Linked DNA regions of Rattus norvegicus. The protein of the gene in region 3 interacts with the protein of the main gene of each other region in a pairwise test. Links are inferred from orthologs where the notes say so. Each region holds a gene or a part of one and is shown on either strand. Other genes may lie near its edges.

The links.
Region 1: the proteins of Bysl (region 3) and Trip6 interact in binary tests that used the Homo sapiens proteins (3 or more experiments, as listed by UniProt). The two-hybrid records come from large-scale screens. The link is inferred for Rattus norvegicus from reciprocal best matches to the Homo sapiens genes BYSL and TRIP6.
Region 2: the proteins of Bysl (region 3) and Mid2 interact in binary tests that used the Homo sapiens proteins (3 or more experiments, as listed by UniProt). The two-hybrid records come from large-scale screens. The link is inferred for Rattus norvegicus from reciprocal best matches to the Homo sapiens genes BYSL and MID2.
Region 4: the proteins of Bysl (region 3) and Emd interact in binary tests that used the Homo sapiens proteins (3 or more experiments, as listed by UniProt). The two-hybrid records come from large-scale screens. The link is inferred for Rattus norvegicus from reciprocal best matches to the Homo sapiens genes BYSL and EMD.

Annotation. Positions count from the first base shown.
Region 1 is NC_086030.1:25,020,638-25,026,514, reverse strand, and holds the start of Trip6 (thyroid receptor-interacting protein 6), read right to left. Parts: upstream 3,557-5,877; 5' UTR 3,408-3,556; coding exon 3,299-3,407; intron 3,051-3,298; coding exon 2,923-3,050; intron 2,829-2,922; coding exon 2,703-2,828; intron 2,451-2,702; coding exon 2,067-2,450; intron 1,469-2,066; coding exon 1,375-1,468; intron 1,279-1,374; coding exon 1,109-1,278; intron 88-1,108; coding exon 1-87. Other genes in the region: Slc12a9 (solute carrier family 12 member 9), read right to left, coding at 4,281-5,167. UniProt on the Homo sapiens protein: Relays signals from the cell surface to the nucleus to weaken adherens junction and promote actin cytoskeleton reorganization and cell invasiveness. Involved in lysophosphatidic acid-induced cell adhesion and migration.
Region 2 is NC_086039.1:109,141,261-109,147,375, reverse strand, and holds the start of Mid2 (probable E3 ubiquitin-protein ligase MID2), read right to left. Parts: upstream 3,557-6,115; 5' UTR 3,393-3,556; coding exon 3,389-3,392; intron 1-3,388. UniProt on the Homo sapiens protein: E3 ubiquitin ligase that plays a role in microtubule stabilization. Mediates the 'Lys-48'-linked polyubiquitination of LRRK2 to drive its localization to microtubules and its proteasomal degradation in neurons.
Region 3 is NC_086027.1:20,879,076-20,885,005, reverse strand, and holds the start of Bysl (bystin), read right to left. Parts: upstream 4,666-5,930; 5' UTR 4,598-4,665; coding exon 4,333-4,597; intron 736-4,332; coding exon 573-735; intron 1-572. Other genes in the region: Med20 (mediator of RNA polymerase II transcription subunit 20), read left to right, coding at 5,108-5,121. UniProt on the Homo sapiens protein: Required for processing of 20S pre-rRNA precursor and biogenesis of 40S ribosomal subunits. May be required for trophinin-dependent regulation of cell adhesion during implantation of human embryos.
Region 4 is NC_086039.1:157,188,036-157,193,993, forward strand, and holds Emd (emerin), read left to right. Parts: upstream 1-2,402; 5' UTR 2,403-2,509; coding exon 2,510-2,591; intron 2,592-2,683; exon of another isoform or gene 2,684-2,763; coding exon 2,764-2,871; intron 2,872-3,007; coding exon 3,008-3,085; intron 3,086-3,305; coding exon 3,306-3,442; intron 3,443-4,574; coding exon 4,575-4,621; intron 4,622-4,703; coding exon 4,704-5,034; 3' UTR 5,035-5,414; downstream 5,415-5,958. UniProt on the Homo sapiens protein: Stabilizes and promotes the formation of a nuclear actin cortical network. Stimulates actin polymerization in vitro by binding and stabilizing the pointed end of growing filaments. Inhibits beta-catenin activity by preventing its accumulation in the nucleus.

The DNA.
Region 1 (5,877 bases), on a different chromosome or scaffold from region 3:
GCAACCAGGATGGTAAGCCTTCCCCATAGCCCTCAGGATTCGGTCCAGGATGGGTTCAGAGCATGTGGAACATTTCTCCAGTGTGGCCTAATAGGAAAGAGGAAGGAAGGTCAGGGGGAAAAGCCACTCCAGCCAGGAAGGCGTACTCTCTGCCCAACCACGTGGTGTGTGTAGTTCCCCGCAGAGCATTCAGTGGAAGGTGGACTTAGCATTTCTGAGGTTTCATACGGGCACTGAAGCCTCTAGACAAGGAATCTGGTCTCCGCACACTTCCTCTTTCAGTGAGATGAGTCAGTAGTGCTTGCCTCTGAGGAATGCTGTGAGGCTTTTACAAATTACCTCAACTCTAAAATGCCTTCTAGCTGGGCACACATCTGGTTTCTCAGCTCTCGGAAGCCGAGGCAGGAAGACTGTAACTTCAGGACCAGCCTAGGCTACGTAGTGAGACTCGGTCTCAAAGGAAGGAAAGAAGGAAGGAGGGAGAAAGGGAAGGAGAGGTGGAGGAAAAGAGGGGAGGAAGGAGGGAAAGAGGGAAGGAGGGAAGGAGGGAAGGAAGGAAGGTGGCCACCCACTTAGACAGCACGAGCTGTTCCTCCTCTCCTTCAGCTCGTGTCCACATTTAACTCATTCCTTAATCTGGGGTTGTAGCTCAGTTGGTAAAGTGTTTGTCCGGCATGCAAGAGCCCTGGGTTCCATTCCTAACACCACAAAGAACAGATCTGGTGGCCCACACCTGGAATCCCCATACCCAAGGTCTTCCTTAGCTATAAATACCTAAGAGTTTCAGGCCAGCCTGGGACACACGACGTATTATCTCAAAACGACAAACAGGCAATCCAAGAAACAAAACGCAAAGTGTTCTTTTGGTTGATGGATCAATCGATCTTCGGAAACCTGTGCCTTGGGCTGGCTTCCAACCCGCTTCCGTAGCCCATGTTCTCCTCCAGACAGGCCTGAGCCACCATACTTAGTTCATTGTACCTCAGCTTGAATCTCCAGCTTCCAGGCCCACCCAGCTGAGTACCTGGCCCTCTCTTGGATAGAAACCTGCCTGTCAAATCTTGACACTCCCAATTTGGCAACACCCTCTCACAGCCCAACCGCTCACCACATAGCAGCTCTCACAATACGCCCGCCTCTCCACGGCATAGAAGTGCTGGCCTCGGAGCTGGGCCCGACAGGTAGAACACACGAAGCAACCAGTATGGAAGACACGGTCCAGGGCCACAACCCCAGCTCCATCACCAACCACATCGTCGCCACAGCCACCACACCGACCTGGGGACAGAGGGGAACAAGATCAGTCTCCACAGACCCAGGACACCGGATCCACTGTCCCCTCCCCGTCCCATCCTACCCAGCGGGTCAGCTCACCAAAGTACTCCCCACTGGGCGGGTGGTTCATGTCATGCACCAACTTCTTGGTCAGTCTCTCCAGCTCCTCCTCTGGAGGCTGGCTCAAGGGGCCCTACAGGGAGAAACAGGGCTTTGCAGTGCTGCTTCGACCTCACACACCGTAAGTAACCCACAAGCTCAGGAACCCTGAAATTTCCTCTGAGAATATCTCCCAGGCTGACAAGGGAAGGAAGCCCCTTCCCTTTGGACATCGTAATCCTTGACCTCTAAGTACCCTAAAACCACAACTGACTTATATTTATTTTTAAGAGCGTGTCTCATATGGCCTAGGCTGGCCTTGGACTCATTATGTAGCCAAATATCTTAATTTACTGATCCTCCTGCCTCTACCTCCCCCATGCTTTGTTTATACAGTGCTGGGTCTAGAACCTTGGGATTCCTACATAATAAAAAAGGACTCTACCGGGGTTGGGGATTTAGCTCAGTGGTAGAGCGCTTGCCTAGCAAACGCAAGGCCCTGGGTTTGGTCCCCAGCTCCGAAAAAAAGAAAAAAAAAAAAAAAAAAAAAAAAAAGGACTCTACCAACTCTCTACCAACTGAACTGCGTCTCCTAAAAACGGTATCTTAATCCCTCAGCCTCCACACCACCTAACCAACGGCCAGTTACCTACAATGACCAGGTACCACCGTGCCCACACCCCCTGGCTTACCTGAGGCTCATGCCCACCTCTTCTTCCTCCTCCTGCAGGGTTATGAACTCCAGCAGCTCCCTCCTTAACCCCTGGTCCTGGCTCTCGGTGGCTCCTATAGCCAGCTCCCCAGACTTCACCACGACCTGTCAGAGGAAAGTGGGGGCCTGGAAGAGGTCCAGAGGCCTGCGAAGCCCCCCGCCTGGGCAGTCCACAGCCTCTCACGGGTTGAGCCACCTTCACTTGAACAGGGAAAGCAGGACCAGCTGGAGTGCTCGCGGTAGCATAAGAGGCTGGAGTAGGTCCACCATAGGGAGATGCTGGGAGCATCGGGGCTGGAACAGCACCTCCGCTGGGTTTCAGGGAGCCTCCACGGTAAGCATGGGGTGGAGGAGCCTCAAAAGCCTGGGAAGACAAACAATGCACAAACAGTAAGGCCAGATCCAAGATCCATGCGCGCCAGGTGGAATCTCGGGAGCCATGACTTTTGTCAAGTTCCCATGGGTTAGGCCTAACAAGAAGGAAGTTCATGATTCCTTGAACCAGTTATTTATTAGTTGCAAAGAGGGTGGGCGGAGAGTGAAGAGGGCGGACTGAGGCTGAGAATCTACAAAAGAGAATCGGCTGACACAGGAGAGACAGAACACAGGAGATCACCTGTCTGTCTGGTCGCCTAGGTGCATGACTGCGACTCCCGTCCAGATCAGCCAGCATGCTGGTGAGCGAATCTATCTCAGCGTCCAGACTTCCAGGGTGGATGACTCCCCGGTCTGGAGGGAGCCCCTGAGACAGAGCCAAAACAGGAAGAACAAATACCGATCACAACCCCTACCTAGCCTTCTCTCACCTTGATCCTACCCTCACCTCCAATTCTCACCTGCAGGCGCTGGGCTGCTCCATGGGATCCCACCCAAGTAGGCCCCCGATCTTCCGGTACCCCCGGAGGCTGATAACATTGTTCAGGTGGGAGGGGGCAAAAGTTGACCCTGGGGTGAGGCTGGAGCGCTAAAGGGGGAGACGGGAGGTGAGAGCGGAGAAGGGTACCCTGGTTAAAGCCGCCTTTCTCAGGCAGCTCTCCTTCACGTACCTGGGAGTCTGGGGATGGACCAAGAGTTAGGGAAACTTGCACAAGAGCAAGGGACTCTGGCTTGGGGAAGGGACAGCAGGAAGCAGATAGGCAAGGAAGAAAAGGTTAAGGAAAGTGGCCAATGGCTCTTCTGCCACTCCCGGGTGTGGGAAAGGGGAACACTTACTTGCTCCATGGGCCGTTGGCGGACCCAGGGTTCCTCTGGGCAGCGCTCTCCCCTGAGGGACTCTGGAGGGCTCTGGCTGCTTCGGGGGAAGCCAGGTGGGCCCGGACATGGTCTGGAATAGGGTTGCTCCACTCCAGACAGAGGTCAGGACCCCCACAAGCCCAGCGGCCGGGCCCTTGAGCCCCTTCCCTCCCTTTCGGCCCCACGCCCCGTTTGGGACTCCAGCAAAGAAACTTTTTCTGGCTTTTTTTTTCTTCCCTTCCTCCCCAATTTTGGAGAGGACCACGCCCCCTGACGTCACCACATTCCTGGTGAGGGTCACGTGGTCCCCCAAGCCTTATTCTACGATTCTTCCTTTCTCTGGCCCCCTCCTGTTAAGTGAGGACCGCCCTCCTCCGGAGCCAAGCCTAGGGTGGGCTGCAGGCCTCTCCGAGAGGCTCTGGTCCAGCAATTCTCTCAGATCCCTGCCCCAGTCCTGCACGTGGCAGCCTCTTGGCCGGGACTCTGAAAGTCTCCACCCCCTCATAGATCTCTCCCTTCCCACCCGGCTCCCTCTCATCTACCCACCAGCAGTGCTCCACCAGCCCATAGTGTTTTGGTCTTTTATTTATGGTCAGTAGTTAGAAAAATAAAACAAAACACAAACATCACCACCCAAGGAAGTCGGGGAGAGGGAGGTGGTGCGTCTGTGGCCAGGATGGGGACACTGAGGTAGCCTAGAGTCACAGAAGAGACCAGCCCCTCTGGTCAAGGCACCAGTGAAGGAAGCGTAGGCAGACCAGGAACAGGGCCGCAATGTCCTCCCCTACAATGGGGCAGCCACCTAGAATTAGTGTACTATGTCCATTCGCCACCCAAAGGAGACCAGGGTCCCCTTAAAACATCATCAAAAGGGCAGGGCCCATTGGGGGCGGGGGAGGGCGTCCCTTGTTGAGAATGGGCCTGGGCCCTCTCTATCTATCCAACACTGTATGCACAGGCATCAGAGATCAGTACAGGTAACCGGAGTGACACCATGAATAAGAAGGGTGGGACCCAGATCACGGCTTAGGGTCTCCAGCAGTGCCAGGTATCTAGGGTAGCGGGCAGGATCAGCAGGAGGTCGAGGAAGATACAGGAAGGTAAGGGCTGTGGTGGGTCCCTCCTCTCCATCCCTTCCTTCTGGTCCCCCAGGGCCTCCTCCTGTGCCTCGTCCCTGCTGGGCACGCACCAGGGCATTGGCACTGCAAGCTAGAGCCTCTGCCTCTTCGTCTCCTCGACCACCATTCACAAAGTCCCCTTCCTCCTCCTCAGGCTCCCCAGCCTCAGCCCCTTCACCCCACACCACCTCTTGCACCTCTGCCCGGATCCTGAGTTGACTCAACAGGGCCCGGAGCCTTCCCTCTGCTGCCCCAGGAGCCTCTCTGGGCCCCAAGCACAGAAAGATCCGGAGCCGGGCACTGTGCCAGGCAGGCACCATGCTTAAGATGGTAGCCATCTGCAACAGAAAAAGGCCACAGACGTCCACGTATCCAGGTCCACCCCGGGGCCTCAACAGATTCAAGGGCCATACGTCCACATGATGTAGCTGAGCGCTGCTACCGGACCCCCGGCTTAGCCGCTCCGGGGGCAAAGCCCCACAAGCTCGGGCGAGAACCACATTCTTGTTCATCTTGAGAGCATCTGCCACGGTGGCCACGTAGTCCTGGGGACTGAGAGCCCTGGGGCTCCCAGGAGCCCGAGGTGGAGGGAACAGCGTGCTCAGGGCTGGCGACCCGCCCTCTCTGGTGCCCTCTGCAGGCTCAGAGAAGGCTGGGTCTGTTAGAAAATGGTCCTGGGGTGGGGCGTCATCATAAAAACCGAGCACCAACGTGTTGGGCTTCATACCGCCTAGGGGCAGAGAAGGGAGGCAGGAAGGAACAGAAATCAGGCTGAGGACTGAGTTTACACCACATAAAACTCGCCCACTCACACTTAGGTCAGCCATGAGGTATGACATCCTCCTTGGCTGAGGCCCTTACAGCAAACAGTATACACACGTTTGCACAATGAATTGGCTTTGCTAAAACACTTTCACATGCATTTATTTGACTATCTCTTGGAATAATCTCTTCCACTTTAAATAGATAAAGTTCACTTCAGGATGTCTTCCCCCCTTTGCAGGGAGTGGTACTGGAGAGTAAACCTCAATCACTAACAGCTATATTCCAAGCCCCATCTTAAATTTCCTTTAGGTTTTTGTTTGTTTGTTTATTTGTTTCAGAGGAAGGGGGGTCTGTTTGTTGACTTGCTTGATTGATTTTATCATTCTAAGGCAGGGTTTCATGATACAGCCCTGACTGGGCCGCAACTCACTATGTAGACCCAGTGAAGCACAAACTCATAGAAATCCACTTGCCTCGGTCTCCTGAGCACTGGGATTAAATGCACACACGCACGCACCCACTCACTCACTCACTCACAGTTTTTGATTTTCTAGACAAGGTCCCAGGCATCCTGGGCTTTCTTTGAACTCTAAGTGTCAGAAGGTAACCTTGAACTTCTGATCTTCCTACATCCTCCTCCAAGTGCTGGGATTCTAGGTACTCATCACCGCTGCC
Region 2 (6,115 bases), on a different chromosome or scaffold from region 3:
CCTCTGTTACCACTCAGTGACGATCAATGTATTTATTAAGGATCTGGAAATACAGACAGCACAATATCATATTTTGTACCCAATTTTCAAAAACAGTGACTATATTTAGGGCTAGTGAAACTGCCCAGCAAGTAAACTTGCTAACTACCCAGACTGGTGGCCAGAGTTAGATCCACAGAACCCATGCAGTGGAGGGAAAGAGTAGATTTCCACAAGTTTCCCTCTAACCTCTGCATGTATGCTATGGCACATATGCATGTACCATATACATGGTCAGAGGCACGCAAATAAAGAACTGTTAAAATTTAAGTGACTGCCTTTCAAACCTCTTGAACTGTGTTCTATCCATCATGAACGTGTTATACCTCACACTTTGATGATATAGTATTTCATGTAAGGACACTACGCACATCATAGACACAGCTTTCTTTTGTATAGAAGACAGAACAAAAAGTCAATAATACTAAATGGAGTTGGAGCATCCTCCTATCCCCTCAGACCTCTTCTAGCAGCTGAGTCCCATGGCCAATATCTAGAAATTTAGGAAAATCTAGAAAGATTGTATGACAGACAGACAAAGCCAAACAGTTATCTCTTAAAACAGTCACCTGAGACATAATTGTATGCCTCATCCCTGACTTTGTCTTTTGGGGTTTTACATCCCTGTTGAGAAAGAGAAATTCTAGTTCTAAGGGACCTAACAATCAGAGACAGTGTTCTTCACTCTTCATCAAGATGATGAGGTTTGTTGAGTGATTACAAAAGCATTCTTCTCTAGTCTCCCTCCTAATTGTTGCGGTGTCAGCAGATTTTATGGGAGGAGGGAATAGAAAGGCTCACTACTCAGAACACTACTTGGATGCAATTATGACACTCCACCAGCACTATTTTAAGGCCTGCAAGTTGGAGCAAGTTGCCCTGTTCTTAGAGGAGGGATTAACCAAACCAATTTTATCTAAGTCAATTTGCACTGTTCAGATGATATGTTTGTGAAGCAAGCAAGCCACTCATTTGCAGCAAGTGCCTCTCAGAAGTGGTCTTGCAAGGTACAACATGCTAGGTAGGAATCACGGGAGTCATGAAAGTAAATAGGAGAGACAGCTCTTCATGTCCTGTAACTTCTCTCCCTACTCCACACATCACGCACCCTGACCTGATCGAGCCTTGGAGATGTAAGTAGAGTTTAGCATAGGGCAAATATGAGCCCAAAATACTGGGTCAAGTGCAGGGCCTCCCTCAACACAGCCAGCAGAGGTGTCTGTGCATTAAAGGTGCTTTAAAAAATATTGACTCATGGCTGCTAGGTGCTAATTGTGCTTCTATAGCCAGACCTAAAGTTATCTGTGACACTTTTTATTGGGCATTAACTAACTCCCCTCCGCATAGGCTAAAAAAATGGGTGAGGTTGAATATTCAAATGAGTCTGACTCAGACTGTTAGGGTAAAGTGTAATCAATATGATTTATGACTCGACTTAAAATCATCACCATTACTTTCTATGCCTAATTGTATATATGTTCCCATTCAGTTGCACATACATTTGCGAAACAAATTGACTTAAGATCTAAATTACAATGATAATTTGAATCCCAAGGGAACTAATAAGGGCAAATTAAGGTTTGTGTAAATTAGTGTTCCCATTTATATCCAGTCAATCCAGTAACCCACTAAGGGATAAATGAAATGCTTTCACTGGAAAGTATAATGCCAAGGTTTATAGAATCCTTTTATCTTCAAAGGACCAAGCCAATACTCACAATACCCAGTACACAATATTATGCCTTTTATGCAAGTGCAGCATCTGTGAAAGAGAGGTCATACAAATGTCTAAAGGCCGTAAAGCCAATGCAACGTCACATTTGGAATGAACTCTCTGATCTTCTAGGCTCCTAGGCTTGTGTTTCAACCACATGAATCAAGTTTTGTAAGGAACAATCAAGAGAAATCTAATTCATATTATGCGTCTGTATTAAGCTAATTGATTGAGCAGGAATATATAAAAATAGCAAAGATCGATTCTCCCTCGGGGCAGTGCTGAGTGGGGAGGAGGTGAAAAGGGTGGGGGTGCTGGGATAGGAATCTAGGATACAGCAAAACTCCCTAAGCAGAAGGGAGCAAGAGTGTGAACTCTTCGTTTGCCAACTCCATCTTCTATTGGAATATTGTCAGAGCTGATTCGATTTCGGAGAGGAAATGGAGTGGGATTAAAGTCAGCCCTTATGGTCCAATTTGAGAATCTCATTAATCCCCACACAATAGTTGTCTCCTATTACAGTTTCCAATGTCTTGCTTCATAAATACTCCTCAGAGACAAACAACTAATGCCATTCACCAGCCCCACCCTCCAGAATCTTCAAAAAAAAAAATTCAAAGTGATTGAAAAGCAAGAAGCTGCACTGCTGGGATGTGCACAGGTCGACAGAGAAAAGCTGAGAGTGCAGGGACTCTGGGAGAGATGTGGCAGCTTAGATGGGAGGCAGGGATAAGAAGAGGCAGAATAGTGACAGCACATAGTGAAGAGAGAGGGGAAAGTGAGGAGTCCAACCATCCCGGGATCCTAATTTCCTGCTCTAAACCGAAATGCCTCCTAAATAAATAAATAAATAAATAATATGCTGCACGTGAAGTGCGAAACAACCTAAGCCAGCCCATCACCAGTAACGTTACAGTAATTCTTAGGAGCCCAAAATGAAAAAGGCTCCCGTGTCTCTGTTTCAGTCGCAGTGTGTCCTGTGGACACACTCAAGTTTTCCCTCTTCCCCCCAACGGCGCTGCTTTTACAGCTAGGCCAGAAATAAAGAACCACCCAGACAGAGACTTGAAGATCACTTCCCCAGCAGGGGGAAAACAAGGGAGGGGGGATTAAGTTTCTCCCGGGCTCTTGCCCGCAGGGTGTCCACCGCATCTCTGGCTGCTGCGCCAGCACCACTGAGCCAACCGCCGACCTCCGGGCGCCGCCCGGGCCGAGGACGCCGTGGATTGCGGGAGCGTGGGAAGGCGGCTGCGCCCTTTCCCAGACTTGCGCCTAGGCGCCAGGAGAGCTAAGCCGCTCCACTGCTTTCCCCTGGCTCGGCCTGGCCAAGCGGGAGGCCTCGGGCCGTTCCCCAGCCTGGGATCTAGGAGTGCAAACTCCTTCCCACGAGGGCAGTAGCAGGAGTCCGGGTCACTACCGTGTGACAGACAACTGGGACTCCGCCACTGCCACCTGGAGCCTCGAGGACCCAGTCCCGTCCGGTCCCCCCCACTCTCCCAACCCCGAGTGTCCTCAGCCAGCGCCGGCCCCGGCGGCACCTGAAGAGCAGCAGGAGCTGGCCGGGACCAAGCCCTGCGCGGGCGGCCACACTAGCCACCCCCCACCCCCGGGCCTCGGCGAGGGGACGCGTTTTACCCATATTGTTCCCGGGTGTCAGCCATCTCCTACGCGCGCCGGGAAGCGCCGTGCGCTCGCTGGCCTCCACAGCAAGCTGGCTCGGGCTCCCGCGCAAGCTCCCGGGCCGCTGTCGCTGCCGCCGCCGCCGCCACCACCACTCTAGGCCGCCGCCCGCCTTCTCCGCTGCGGCCGCCGCCGCCGTTGCCGCCGCGCAGCAGCCGGGATCCGCCAGCCCGCGCGCCCCACGGGAGACAGCACGGAGACCGCGACGTTCCGGCGTCTAGGTCTCCCGGGCTAAACTTAAAGAGTTTTCGCCTCTCAGTCCAGAGGCAGCTCCATGACACCACCGCAGCACCACACTGTCATTTCCGCCGCCGCAGAGGAAAAAAAAGGCAATCCCTTCGAAAGGAGGGTGGAGTGGGGGCAAGCGGAGCGGAGACTGACACCCTAAGGGAGCACGGGGAGGGGCCCGGGCAGAAGGGGCGCTGGGCCACCTTCCTAGGCTCACCTTCCGCCGCCCCCGCCACTCCCAGCTCCCCGTGCCCCTCCTCTGGAGGCGCGCTTACATGTTTTCTCCCCTGGCAGGAGTGACCGGAGAAACCTGAGCAAGCAAAGGCAGCGGGTGGGTGGGGTTCAGATTACTACTGTACCTACCAGCTGATTCCAGCAGCCTTTTCTCCAGCACCCTGTCATCTTGATGGAAGACACGGGGAGAAGGGGACTGACTGAACAGGCGTGTGTGTGTGTGTGTGTGTGTGTGTGTGTGTGTGTGTGTGTGTGTGTGTGTTTGCGCGTCTACAAGCGAGCGGGTGGTATGTGTGAAGTACAGAAGGAAGACTGTGGCCAAACTCTTCACCCACCCACCTCCCTTCTACATCCACAAACCCCCAGATTAGAGCAAGGGAAAAGGCTGTTGCACTCGCCAATGAGAAGAGTGTGCCTGGATCCTCCTCACGGGTCCTACTGGTGAAGCTGTTCTATGCAAAGTTAACTAGAGAGTAAAACAAAAATAGTGGAGGAGACAGAGAGGGGCAGACAATTGGAGGAAACCCAACCCCTTTTTCTTTTTACAAAGGGAGAATGGCTATGTTCTATTGGCCTTGGGCACAAGTTGTTCCGGTGGATTGAAGCCACTAAAAGTGTAAGGGGGTAAGGTTTCTTTTGCACCTTCTGATCATTGACCAACAATACAAGAGGGTCATTACCAAGAGGACAATGAGGCAGATGCTAGCCATCCAAGAATTCAATGTCCCTATTAAGATCCATTCGGAACCCAGGAGTTTCTCATTGGTCTGGATACAGCCTGCCTTTTGACCCGTCGTTGGCTCAAAGACCACCACACCCACTTAAAAAGTAGATGGGAGAAGGAAGCCACCCCAGAGGATACTCTTTCTAGTACCACTCATAGAGGGAAAAAGAAAGCAATCAAAAAAAAAAAAAAAAACAAAAAACAAAAAACAGCCCTTCTCACATGGGCCTCCCATTACTGTGTTTGGGAACAAATCCAAAAAGAGAAAAAAAAGGTAGATGGGTGTGTCTTGTCAGGGAACCAATAGCAGTCAGCCAACAGCACTGTTAAACAACCTGCTAGAGAACACTGGAGTGGAAATGAAGGGGAAAACCCAACCACATTACCTAAAGGGAAGTACAGTGCTGAGAGATGTAAAAGTTAATGCGTCATATTCTAAGCACAAACAACAAAAGCAAAACCAGACAAATGACACTACATAGGACCAACACCTACACAGCAGAGTACACAATCGACACATTGGGAAAGGGAGAAAATGTTTAAAATCATATAGGATAAGGACTTACTATCTAGAATATGTAAAGAAGTCATGTGTTTTAAAATGGGCAAAGGACTTGAATGGGTATTTCTCAAAGAAGAAACAAATAGCAGATAATAAGGTGTTTAACATGATCAATCATCAGGAAAATGCAAAATCAAACAATGGAGATGTGTTGCATATGGTTAACAAGACTAGACTCTGTTCTTGGCATGGTCAGATGGGTAAATTCTATACCATGAGACCTTTGACACAATAAAACACTTCATTTCTTTTAAGCTCATGAGTCAGAAGTCTGCTGGGCACATTCACCACCCAAATGTTAAAAATAATTATATATGTATATCTTATGTCTGTGCATCTTTATTTACATTTGTCTGGAGTCAGTCTGCTTGCTGAAAGACCTGGGCTGTTAGTAAGTGAAAAAAAAGGGTAAGTAAGGAACAGATATGGCAAGTAGAATGAAGGATGCTATGGACCAGTGGGAGAAGGAAATGAAATGTCCTTTAAAGCATACATGGTTTCTGGCTTGGATTTTTGAAAATTTTCTACAAATAATTTGTTTTGTGAATGTACTTAATGCTACTGAATTGTACACTAAAAAGTGGTTAAAGTGGCAAAGTGCATATGAAAAAAGCGAAAGAAAGAAGAATAACACTAGACAACTATAGTACACCACAGGAAGAACAACAATATGAATTATCCAGACCCTCCAGAGCTCCTAGGGACTAAACCACCAACCAAAGAGTACACATGGTGGGACCCACGGCTCCAGCTGCGTATGTAGCAGAGGATGGCACTGTCCAGCAGCAATAGGAGGAAAAGCTCTTGGTCCTGTGAAGGCTCATTTCCCCAAAGTAGGGGAATGCCAGGACATTGAGGTTGGAGTGGGTGGGTGGGAGTGGGAACATCCTCATAGAAGTTGGGGGAGGGGGAGGCGGTCTGGGAGAGAGGGTAA
Region 3 (5,930 bases):
CAGCGCACTCTGAAGAAGAGGCTGGTTGAGCCCCTTTGCCCTAAACCCACTCCTCTGAACCGGGCCAGATCCACCTGCTCAAGAATCTGACCACAGGCAGCCTAAGTACTGCATGTTCAGAAGTAGCATTGAGATTTGAGAACACATGGGAATAGGTCTGTGGTTCTACCCAGAGGTAGGGCTCACCCTCTGGGAAAATCTGGCGATTCGTAGAGTGATTTCTCACTGCTGGTATCAGGAGGGGAGATGCCAGAGATAGCTGTTAAGATCCTTGGGTTCTAGCTCCCATGCACAAAGACAGGTATCTGGCCCAAACACCGTGTCTGAGAAGGAAAGCCCTGAAGTACAGACTAAGCCATGAGAGCAACAAACCAAGAATAAGTGCAATAGAACGGCCCCCTGCTATAAAAAGGAACTGGGTAACCTATGAAATTCCCGATCAGACGGACAAAGGCATTTTGAGTCTGGGTCATTCCCATTCAGGAGGGCCATTGTTGACAATGGTCAGACCAACAGCTGTGGCCTGTGGGAACTTTCTACCAGGATCCACTGTCCCAACCTTCAAACCCTACCTGACAGGAGGGTTCTTGTTCATGAACATTTCAATGGCGCGTTCATCTTCAGGGTCCACCACTACCTCTGCCTGGTGGTTCACCACGGTCATTTTGGCTGCCTTCTCCAGGGTAGGCCATTCCTCATCCTCCTCATCCGATCCATCCTGTGGCACTCCTGGCCCTAAAAGAGAAATGACAAAATAAGCATGGTGGGCAGGGGGTTCGGAGTCAGCTCACCTCTTCCATGTCCAGAGTCTTGGAATCTTGAGAGACAAAATACAGCACAAGAAGATGATGGGGGTTGGGGATTTAGCTCAGTGGTAGAGCGCTTGCCTAGCAAGCGCAAGGCCCTGGGTTCGGTCCCCAGCTCCGGAAAAAAAAAAAAAAAAGGAGATGATGATGCCAGGAAATAATGGTTGATGCACTACCCTCAGTGACCTCGAAGAAGCCATTCTATACTATACACGTGGAACCTGGTCCATCCAGATAACCTCGAGGAATGGGTACTGTCATCAAACTGGACAGTAGGTAGCTCGGGTCCTGACTTCCCACTTTGTGGCTTGCACAGTACAGCTGTATTACGTGCTAAGGCTAAAACCATGGTAGAGGCAGAATTACCACAGGCACTTTGGTGAGGGTGAGGAGGCCCTGGATGGGCAATTTGGGAGCAAGAGCTTGCTGTACACCCTGGAAAGTAGTGTTGTCGCAGTGTTGGGCATTAGGAGCCAGAGCCAGAACTAGACTATAGCACCAGAAAGGAAAGGTAAAGCCAAGCCGGAAGGCTGAGGGCTAGTCAGTGGCACCAGACTCTGATTAACCAATACATTTAAAAGGCTGACTTAGGTAGTCAAGGATGACTTAGAGGTCCTTGTTCTCAGGCCTCTACTTTCCAAGTGCTGGAATCACAAACACACACCACAATGCTTAACACTGAGCTCCTGATGTTGGGATAAACGCTCCTGTTCTGTGTAAGGTTGTCTTTGAATTATTCACACACTGATTTCTGTAACAGTGGAGACTTGCAGTTGTTATTGTTATTTTTGTGAAGCATCACCTGTCCAGGTGTTGTATAAACAACATCTTCTCTGTCTCCGTCCCATTGGTTTAATCAGGAGCTGACTGGCCTATAGCAAAGCAGGAGAGGATTTCCGGCAGAGATAGGAACTCTGGGAAAGAAATGAGATATGAAGGGATTTGACAGCCAGAGGAAGAAACACATACAGGTACTGAGGAGTGGAAATGAGCCATGTGGTTCCGTGTACACTAGTATTAATGGGCTAAGTTGTATAAGCTACTTGGGAACAAGCCAGCTAAGGCCAAGCTTTCATAATAAAATGTCTCTGTGTCCTTACGTGGGCGATAGGTGGATAGGTGGGTCAAGCCATTCCTGACATATCCTGACTTTTATTTTTTTAGAGACAGGGTCTTGACCATGTAGCCTTGGCTGGGTGCTTCCTGAGTGCTGGGATTAAAGCCATGTGCCAACATACCTGTAGTGACAAACACCACACACACCTGGCAAGGCAGCTGGGAAAGAGCCTAATGGGCCAAATTAGCTGCAGTGTTACAGAGCAACAGGTCATGTGCTTGGAAGTGGACTAAGGGTACCTAGAGCTCAAGGAGTCCACAGAGCACATTCAGGGAGAGCCAAGGGTGTTTGTTGTAGATTTACTTTAAGTGTGAGCGGTGCCTGCCTGCATGCCTGCATGTATGTCTGTGCACACGCGGGCCTGGTGTCTAGTGAGATCCGAAGATGGCATCTGACCCCTTGCCACTGGAGTTACAGACAGCAAGCCTGACATATGAATGCTGGAAACCATACTCGGATCTTCTGCTAGAACAAGTGTTCTGAAAAGCTGAGGACCAATTCTCAAGAGTTTTCCTCTGTTCTCTACACACATCATGACACGCACACAAAATACATGTTAAATAAAAGAAGACAAGTGCTATGAGATAAGTAGGGGAATAAAAGAGGTTAGGAGACAGATGCTGACACTTGTGGGGTGTTTTGTTGTTGCTGTTGTTAGTTTTTTATATATGAGTGAACCCTTGCATCATAGAGGCCAGAGGGGAATCTTGACTATTATTTCTCGGGAGCTGATGACCTTGTTTTTGAACCAGGGTCTGGCTGGGACCTGGGGTTAGCTGATTAGGCTACACTGGTTGCCCAGTGGGTCCAAGAGATCTGTCTTCAACACTGTGGGACTACAAGCTGTTGTAGGTGGAAGTCAAGAGTCTCAAGTCATGTTCCTTACCAGCTGAATTATCTTATCCCCTCCTTACTTTGTGATTAGACCTGAAACAGAGGCAGATTAGATAGGATTCTGTTGATCTCTAGCTGTTGAATGGACCACAGAGGTTACAGAATACAAATTATGATGCTCTCCCAGTGATTCAGGGGAGACTGTGGTAGCTAAAACAGGAGGCGTTCCAAGTTAATGGAAAGTGGTCTGGCTCTGGATATATTCTAAAGACACAACCATCAGGATTTACTGTGAAGTGAGAAAGAGAACACTGGATTGTGCCTTGAGCAGTGGAAGGCTAACATGCTAACAAACTCTGTGTAGCCAACAGAGAGCAGGTTTGGGAAGGAAGTCAGAACTTCTGTGTGGACACATTCAACTATCGACAGCTACCAGTCTTCAACTTGGAGCTGTCAGGAAGACCACTGGAAATAAAGATGTGAGCCTCTTGGACGAACTACGTACGTGGGAGAAAAATCTGGAAGCAGCCATCAAACAGATGGCTTCAGAGTGAAATTTGCTGACAGCATCACGGAAGGATCTATAAGCTCAAGGCCTGCCTTGGTCACGGCAAGTTCAAGTCCAGCTTGAACAACTGAAGGAGACCCAGTCTCAGTTACAAAATGTTTTTAAGGGCAGGCGTGGTGCCAACCACCTATAATGCCACATGGAAAACAGAGGCAAGATCAGGAGTTTAAGGTCATCCTCCCCTACAGAGTTTGAGGCCAGCCTGGGCTCCTTGAGCCCTTACTTCAGAAAAGCTGCTGTAGCCCTAAAGCCACATTCAAACACTGCTTTTAGGACAGATGGGAATGGAAGATTAAGCAACTGGAGGTCAACGACAGTTCCTCCCCAGTGAGACAGATTACCAAGCATCTACCCACCCATCCCACCCCACTTTTAGCTTCTGAACAATACTCGTTCCCCTCCCTCATCACTGGAACACTTCCCACTTGCTTTTCAGATCTTACTAGAAGGACGTGAAACCTGGGATACCCACCATACAGAATTAATGTCCATCTGTTTTTGTTTAAACAGAAATATCTTTCCCCCTCTCTTGAGAGATAGGGTTCTATCATGTAATGTAGTCGAGGTTAATCTGGAATTTACTATGTACTCAAGGAGGCCTTCTGCCTTGCTTCTGGAGTGCTGGCATTACAGGTGAGCATCGCCACTCCTGCCTGGAATATATTACTCTAATTATCTATTTAATGTGTGCCTTGAGCTACACTTCCGGTGCCATCAGGAGTGATGAAGATCTTATTTCTGGATCAGAACTGCCTAAAAACTTAACACAGCTCAAAGCACTATGCAGGCAGCCCACAGATACTTCAAACGCACAGAGAATAAATAAATGCTAGAACTGGTGTGAGAGATCACATTCTGTTGGCTTAAGTCTGGATCCCGAAACCCAGGAGTGGAAGTGAAGGACCACGCGGGAAAGTTAAGCCGCCTACTCTTTTTAATTCTAACCCAGTATTCCGATGGAGAGTATCAGACCGGCCCAACTCACCACTCCACCCCTTGTCACTCACCCAGCCGCGTGGCGCGCTCTCGCGGTTTTGCCGGCCGATCTCCAGTCGCGTGTTCAGTCTCGAGCTCCTCCTGCTGCTGCCGGGCTTGTTGCAAAATCCGTCTGCTCAACCGGGGTCCCACATACTCTTCCTCCTCTTCGACCCCGTGTCTCCGCCGTTTTTCTCGGGTCCCCGCACGCACTGCGTCCCCAGCCAGAATCTGCTCCGCCAGAGGTGCATGTCTCTCTTGATTTCTGGCCCCACGTGTCACCTTTAATTTGGGCATTTTTGTCGAAAAACTTGCCCACAAAGTTTACACGTGTGAAGCCGGCTAAGAGACGAGACTGCGCTTGCGCCTTGTATTCCGGTCTCCAAGAGGTCACTGAGGCATCACAGTGCCCCCCAGCGTTCGGAGGCCGGAAGTTCCTCATATATCGCCATCTCTAGAAGAGCTTCGGGGCTTGGAGCAGGAGTCTCCAAATTCTCAGATAATCTCACTGAAAGAGGTGGATGTTCGAGTCACCTTTTCCAGAATTCATGAAAGTAGCCTAGGGCGTGTTGTCAACCCCTTGTATGTTTTGGGGGCGGAGCCGGGTCGATGACGTACTAGAAATGTCACCGCTGGTGTATCCAGAGATGCCTCTCCCTGTGGGCGTGTCGTCCTGGCGCTCAGTATTTACGCATTTCCGGAGGCCGGTCAACGACCGCTTCCTGTGTTTAGGGGGCTGCCTCTCGTGGGAAGGTCTGGATTCTCTGAGTTTGAGTATTTGGCAGTACCACCTTTTGACCCTTCGCCATGGGAGTGACGTGGTAGGACTTGAAGGGCTTCTGCGGGGGGGGGGCTGTGGGGTCGTGAAGGTGTCTGTGAGCCTGTAATGGCCCGGGGAGGGGGATTTTGACCGAGGTTCTCGGTTCCTCGAGGGCTGACCAAGATGTCCTGGGGTTGTGTGGATCAGGGGACACCCGAGTGCGGGTTCTCCCTTCCCAGGCATAACAATTTGGCAAAGCAAGCACTTCATCCCAAGAACCCGCCAAGAGTTGTTGGACCTTCTTTTTCTCGGTACCTCTTTCTGTCCTTGAGGCCTTGTCCCGTCGCAACTAGAATCCAGCGGTTAGAAATAAGGTTTCTAGACTAGGAGATATTCGGAGGAAGGGATAAAAAGGGGCGCGAGGAGAAAGTGACTTGTGTATTCTGCTTGCAGTTATAGCACCTGACTTTGAACTGGCCACTTTAAGATATTGGGGCTAGTGACAAAGGTAGGGGAAAGGAGCTGTTGGGAGTTTGGAGATCGGGGTACCAGGCATATTAACTATTCATGAACCACTCCCTAACGTATTTGAGACAGTTTTTTGAGCAGGGTTTTCTTTGTGAGTAGCTTTGGGAGGCCTGTAGATCAGGCTGGACTCAAACTCACCGAGATCTGCCCACCTCTGCCTCTTGAGTGCTTTGGTGATGGCATTTGCCACCAGCACTTGGGCTTGAGACAGTTTTGATCGACTTTTATCTTAAACATGTCTTAAGTCTCACTTGAAAAAAAAAAAGAGGCAGTCGGTAAGGTTTGGGCACCGTGCTTTTGTGGGTATTAATTTCAAAGTACTAGACCTCAGCACTTAAAATC
Region 4 (5,958 bases), on a different chromosome or scaffold from region 3:
GTATAAAGCCAGCCTTGCACCACCTAGATGACTTCCTGGGTAGAATATTTCCATGAATCACTCAACTTGAAGCTGTTGCAAAAGCTTCTTTCAACTCTGGGATCCTGATTCTTCTGCTGAATGATAGAGAAGAGAACTACACTGCAATAAGGCTAGATGTAAGGTCTAGGTCATCAGACAGTATGTGCGAGACCACAGTACAGCTTCCTGGTAACATCTGTGATAGGATCTTATAGTAGGATAGTAGGGGGATTAGGAAGCAGAGTGCTGAGGCAGGTACAGAGGGTGTTCCTTAGGGAAAAGGCAAACCTAAAATTCCTTGACCTCATAAGGAAACAACTTGATTCTGTATGGGGGGAGGGGAGTACTGAGCATTCATTCTGTATGCAGAGGCCTCTGGGAGAGGGGCCAGCACAGAGGGAGGGGGATGCTGGAAAATCTGATTTTGCCAAAACTAAAAAAAATAAAAAATAAAAAAAATTCATGAAGCAGCTGCTTAATGGGGAGAATGTCTGTCTCTCTGTGCTTCTCTGTGTGTCTATGTCTGTCTGTCTGTCTCTCTCTCTCTGTCTTTCTGTCACACACACACACACAGACACACACACACACTCCTGCCCAAGAACTTTCTCCTGTCTTTCCTTAACACAGTATCTTTTCCAGAGATTCTTACAGCTCCATTTACAGGGATAGAGAGGGCACTGTCTTTTAAACCCATCCAACAGCAACTTTTCTTCATTAAGCACTTTGTATGTGGTCAAAACTGGGCTCCACCTCCTCACCATTGCCTACTTTAAACTTCTATAGAGGACTGGCCAGTGACCTTCACTAAAGTGTCATCAAGGCCAGCCTAGAGCTGACCAGAGTATTCACTATCACTATCATTTAGAAAACCCATGGGTTGTAACCCCTCTAATAAACCTCTATCTCCAAAAATATTTACATTATGACTCATAAGAATAGCAAAAATTATCATTATAAAGTGGCAACAAAAATAATTTTATGATTGGGAGTCACTACAACATGAGTAACCGTTGTGGTCACAACAAGGGTCACAGCATTAGGAAGGTTGAGAATCACTGATTTAAGAGATCAGGCATCCCACACACCTTTTCTGCATGTACCCCCTCTTCTAGATGTCTCCAGTAAAGGGCAGCTTACACCTAGAGCCACATGACTTTTCGTAGAATATAATGGTCATGCTCACTCTTCAAGGCAACCTTTCTCTGATCCAGATCCTTAGTGAGCCTCCGTCAATTCCCATGGTTTACCTTTAGGCCAGCAGTTTGGAACCTCTGGGATACTATTCCTTTGGGTCTCACATATTAGATATCCTTCATATTAGATATTTATAATTTATAATAGCAAAATTACACTTATGAAGTACAACACAATAATTTTATGGTGGTGGTGGGGTCATCACAATATGAGGAACTGTATTAAAGGGTCGGCAGCATTAAGAAGGTTGAGAGATACTGCTCTAGGCTTTGCACACTGTCTAGGCCTCTAAGGTCACACCAAGCTTAGAGACTCTGCCAAAGAAGACTTCTCCCCTCAAAACTCCTCAGGGCCCAAGGTGGATGGAACAGTGAGTTAGGCAGGTACAAGGTGTACCCATCTACATGCATCACATAGCAGGCACCTTCTGATTGTGCCCATTGGCATGCCCTGGACCTTTGGAAAGCTGCTTGGTCCTACAGTGTTGGCGGCCTCTTGTCCCAGTGCTAGCCCCATTTCCTCCCGGATGGAACTAGGCGGCAGAGAGGACGGTGGGAATGGGCCTGTACAGGTGTGCAGGCCAGGGCCATGGAGCCTGTGAAGACCAGCGGAGATGGGTAGCGAGTGCCAGGGGTCTGTGGGTGGTTATGTAGGTGATGAGAGTCCTGTATGACAGCACTTGTGCACACAAAGAGCTCGCAACAGCGTCAGGCGCTGTGGAAAGGTTTGCTCTCAGGATTGGACTCTTCACATTGCTGTGGACCAGACTGTGGCTGAGAATCCTAGGCACTGGAAATCAGGATGAAGCCACAAAGGTGTGTAAGATTTCACAGCTTGGGAAATCACAAGCCAGTTTTGGTCCGCTGAGAACACTTGTCGCCCCTCTAGTACGTTGAGCTTTAGCACCCTCAGATAGCCTAGCTAGCCCCGCCCCTCAGCTGCCTAGCTCTCAAAGGAAGTCTCCGCTGCCCCAAAATCTCTCCCGCAAGCCCCTCCCTCTTCCTGTTCGAGTCAATCTCACACAAGTGTGACGTTTGTATTTGCCAGTCCAGCCTGCTAGACTGGTCTGTACTGGCCGCTCCGGCGGATTTGGGCCTGCCCTGAGGAGAGCGCGCAACCTGCGTAGCAGCGGCTGTGACGCAAACGTGACGGCGGCTTGACGCGCCCACAGCCGCTCTTGAGGCGCTGGCGCTTCCTCTGCTAGGCTCCGAGCTGTCTGTTTCTTGGGCCCTGTGTATAGGTGCCGGCCGCCCCTGGCGTTCAACACCGCTTCCAGGTGCCGGCCGTGTCTGCCATGGACGACTATGCGGTTTTGTCCGATACTGAGCTGGCCGCAGTGCTACGCCAGTACAACATCCCGCATGGGCCTATTGTGGGTATGCTGCAGCCGGTGGCGCTCAGAACCTCTCGGTCCCCCGCTTTCCCGCGCTCCTCCCTGAGCGTTCTTCCTACCTCCTCCTTCCCTCAGGTCCCCTCCCCGTGTTCCCTTGTGCTCTTGGGGTGCTCGGCTCGCACCCGCTGACCGCTTCGCACCCTGTGTCTGGGCAGGCTCCACTCGCAAGCTCTACGAAAAGAAAATCTTCGAGTACGAGACCCAGAGAAGGAGGCTTTCGCCCCCCAGCTCGTCATCGTCTTCATTCTCCTATCGGTTCTCAGGTGAGGCTCCAACTGCACAGCCCCAAAGAGCAGCTTGGGGCACAAGGCGCAGGGAGGGAGGGTGTGGCTGAAGCTACTGAGGGAGTAGGGGGAAGTCTGGAGATTGAAGGTCCTGTACCTTCTCCTCCACATGCAGACTTGGATTCAGCCTCCGTGGACTCAGACATGTATGATCTGCCCAAAAAGGAGGACGCCTTACTTTACCAGAGCAAGGGTAAGGCAGGTGTGGGATGGGCACTGATGTCTTTATCCCATGCTTCAGGGATTTGGGCACAGTGAAACTCCAGACCTCACCCCCTTGTACCAGTTCTCAGTGGCTTCAGAGAGAAGAAACTGGCACAGCACACACACAGACTGGGGGGGGGGGGCGGAAGGTGGCAAGAGGCCAGGTAAGGGGCACCACTTTTTCCTCTACCACTGTTTTCTTCCTCAAGACTATAATGATGACTACTATGAGGAGAGCTATTTGACTACCAGGACATACGGGGAGCCCGAGTCTGTGGGCATGTCCAAGAGCTTCCGCCGGCCAGGGACCTCACTTGTAGATGCTGATGATACCTTCCATCACCAGGTGAGTTGTCTGGTAGGCATACCTGGGGTGTATGTAGCCTTAGGGAATTCTAGGTTTGGATAGTTCAAGGAGATACTAGGTGCAGAGAGTGGATCTTAGGCCTTCAAGTATGGTTAGGATCAGCATACAGTTGTTGGCTCAAAAGTTCTACGTTGGAACCTCCAAAACTATTAGATTTGGGGATGAGCATATATAGCTCAGTAGAAGAGCATTTACCTATGGTTTCATCTCCAGCATCCAGCAGCACACACAAATGTTTTTGGGGTTTTGGCATTTTTAAAAATTTAATTACTTTAATTATACCTATGTGTAGCCAATTTTTTGTTAGTTTGTGGGTTCCCCTCACCCTTTCACCCCCAATCATTAGATAGAGAAAGAGAGCTAAAGATCCCTGAATCTAATTTCTTTCTTCCTTGTGTCTTCTTTGACCCCAGCTACTAGCAAACTGTAACCAACCTCACCTATTGGGGCTCTAGTATTTACATACCCTCTGAAAAATTCCCAGAATTCCAAATACCACAAAATTGCAGAAACTATCTGCAACTCAAAAGCATGAAGCAAATCATAGCTGCTGTAAAACAGCCCCATATCCCACATCTAGGGTTAAAATAAAAACATTCTTATAATATTTCTGTGTTTCTTAAGCCAAATTTCAAGAATTCTCACTACATGTATGTGTCTGTGGGTAGTATGCATGAGTGCTGGTGCCTACAGATGCCAGAATTGTCAGATTTCCCCTTAGATTCCCCTTAGAGCTAGAATGGCAAGTAGTTGTAAACTGCCTGATGTGAGTGCTGGAAAATGACCTTAGGTACCTAGGAAGAACAATAGGTGCTTTTAACCACTGAGGCATCTCTGCAGCCCACAAACTTTTATGATCTGAGCATATATAACAGCACCTGTACTCTAGGATGTAGGTTTAAGCCTCCTGAGAATCCTGGGGAATAAAAGGATGGTGGGACAAAGTTGACAAGGTTTGTAACTGGGTGGCAAGGCCCCACAGTTAAAGAGGGCATGGACCCAGAATGATGGGGGGGCAATTTTCTGCCCCCTACAATGTGACTAGAGTAGGCTAGCCAGAGACATTTGGGGAAACCATTCTTTCCCATTTCTAATCCTAATTATCCGGCAGGTGCGTGATGACATTTTCTCTTCTTCAGAAGAGGAAGGCAAGGATAGGTGAGTAGTGAACACATGTAGGGACAGGGACAAGTTTGACACTCAGACTCTCCTGCCTACCTGTCCCCTTCTTTTGCTACAGGGAACGCCCCATCTATGGCCGAGACAGTGCCTACCAGAGCATCGCACACTACCGCCCCATTTCCAATGTCTCCAGGAGCTCCCTGGGCTTATCATATTATCCTACATCCTCCACCTCTTCTGTGTCCTCCTCTTCATCTTCTCCCTCTTCATGGCTTACCCGACGTGCCATTCGACCAGAAAAGCAGGCCCCTACTGCTGCTCTGGGCCAGGATCGACAGGTCCCACTCTGGGGCCAGCTGTTACTCTTCCTGGCCTTTGCTGCCTTTCTGCTCTTTGTTTACTATTCCATACAAGCTGAAGAAGGCAACCCCTTCTGGATGGATCCCTAAGGGTATTGGTTTCAGAGCAGCTCTTAACAGGAGTTTTGGCTGACTGCCTTAGCAGTGTTTGCTGGGGGTGGGGGGTAGGGGCTTTTTTGTGTATTCTAGTTAGAGGGTACAGGGCCTAGCCTACGGCAGTGCTTGTCTCCACCTCATCTTGCCAAGGAAGCAGCAAATGCTGGCTTTCCACAGCCCAGTAGGCCCGTATGTACCTTCCTCTGGAGCCTCCTAGCCTTATTGCCTCTGACTCTTAGGGTATGGGGATCTGGTGGGGAGGACCTCACTTCATTAGAGGAAAACTTGGTGGTGGCAGTGGTAGTTGTCATGCATGCCTGTTTGTTGTCACCTTTTCAGGGGGTATTAACAAGGCCATCCTGGCTTTGCTTTCGTGGACACAATAATAAACATGTTTATTTTTACCTTGTTGTTTCTTCCTACTGGGATGGGAGCTGGGCTGCCATGGCACACAGGTGCTTGGTTTTAGGTCTCAATAATCAGTGTGGCTTTTCCCTTTGGTTGTGCTTGGTCTTGGGGAAGGAATCAAATGCTACCCATAGATAAGTCTATGTTTTAGTTGTGGGTTTTATTTCTGGGCCAACTCCCTGAAATACTTATTATAACCACTTAGAAAAATAACTACCATGTAATTAAATGTGTAGATAAGCCTATGGGAAATGTAGGCAAAACTGCATATATGATCATATATGCAGATACTTTAGTCAGGAGAGGCTAACACCAACATCTGAGGTTACCAGGATAGAAAAGATATGAGGCATCATGCCAGTACATTGTTCAGCTCCTGGGATTGGTGGCATGATAATAAGATTCAAAGGCTACAGTGCACCCATGGCTATTCTAATTCTTTGCCTGTTTATTCTTGCTCAGTTTTTAGATTTTCTTTGGAGATAATCTTTTTGTATACTGCGTTAAAAT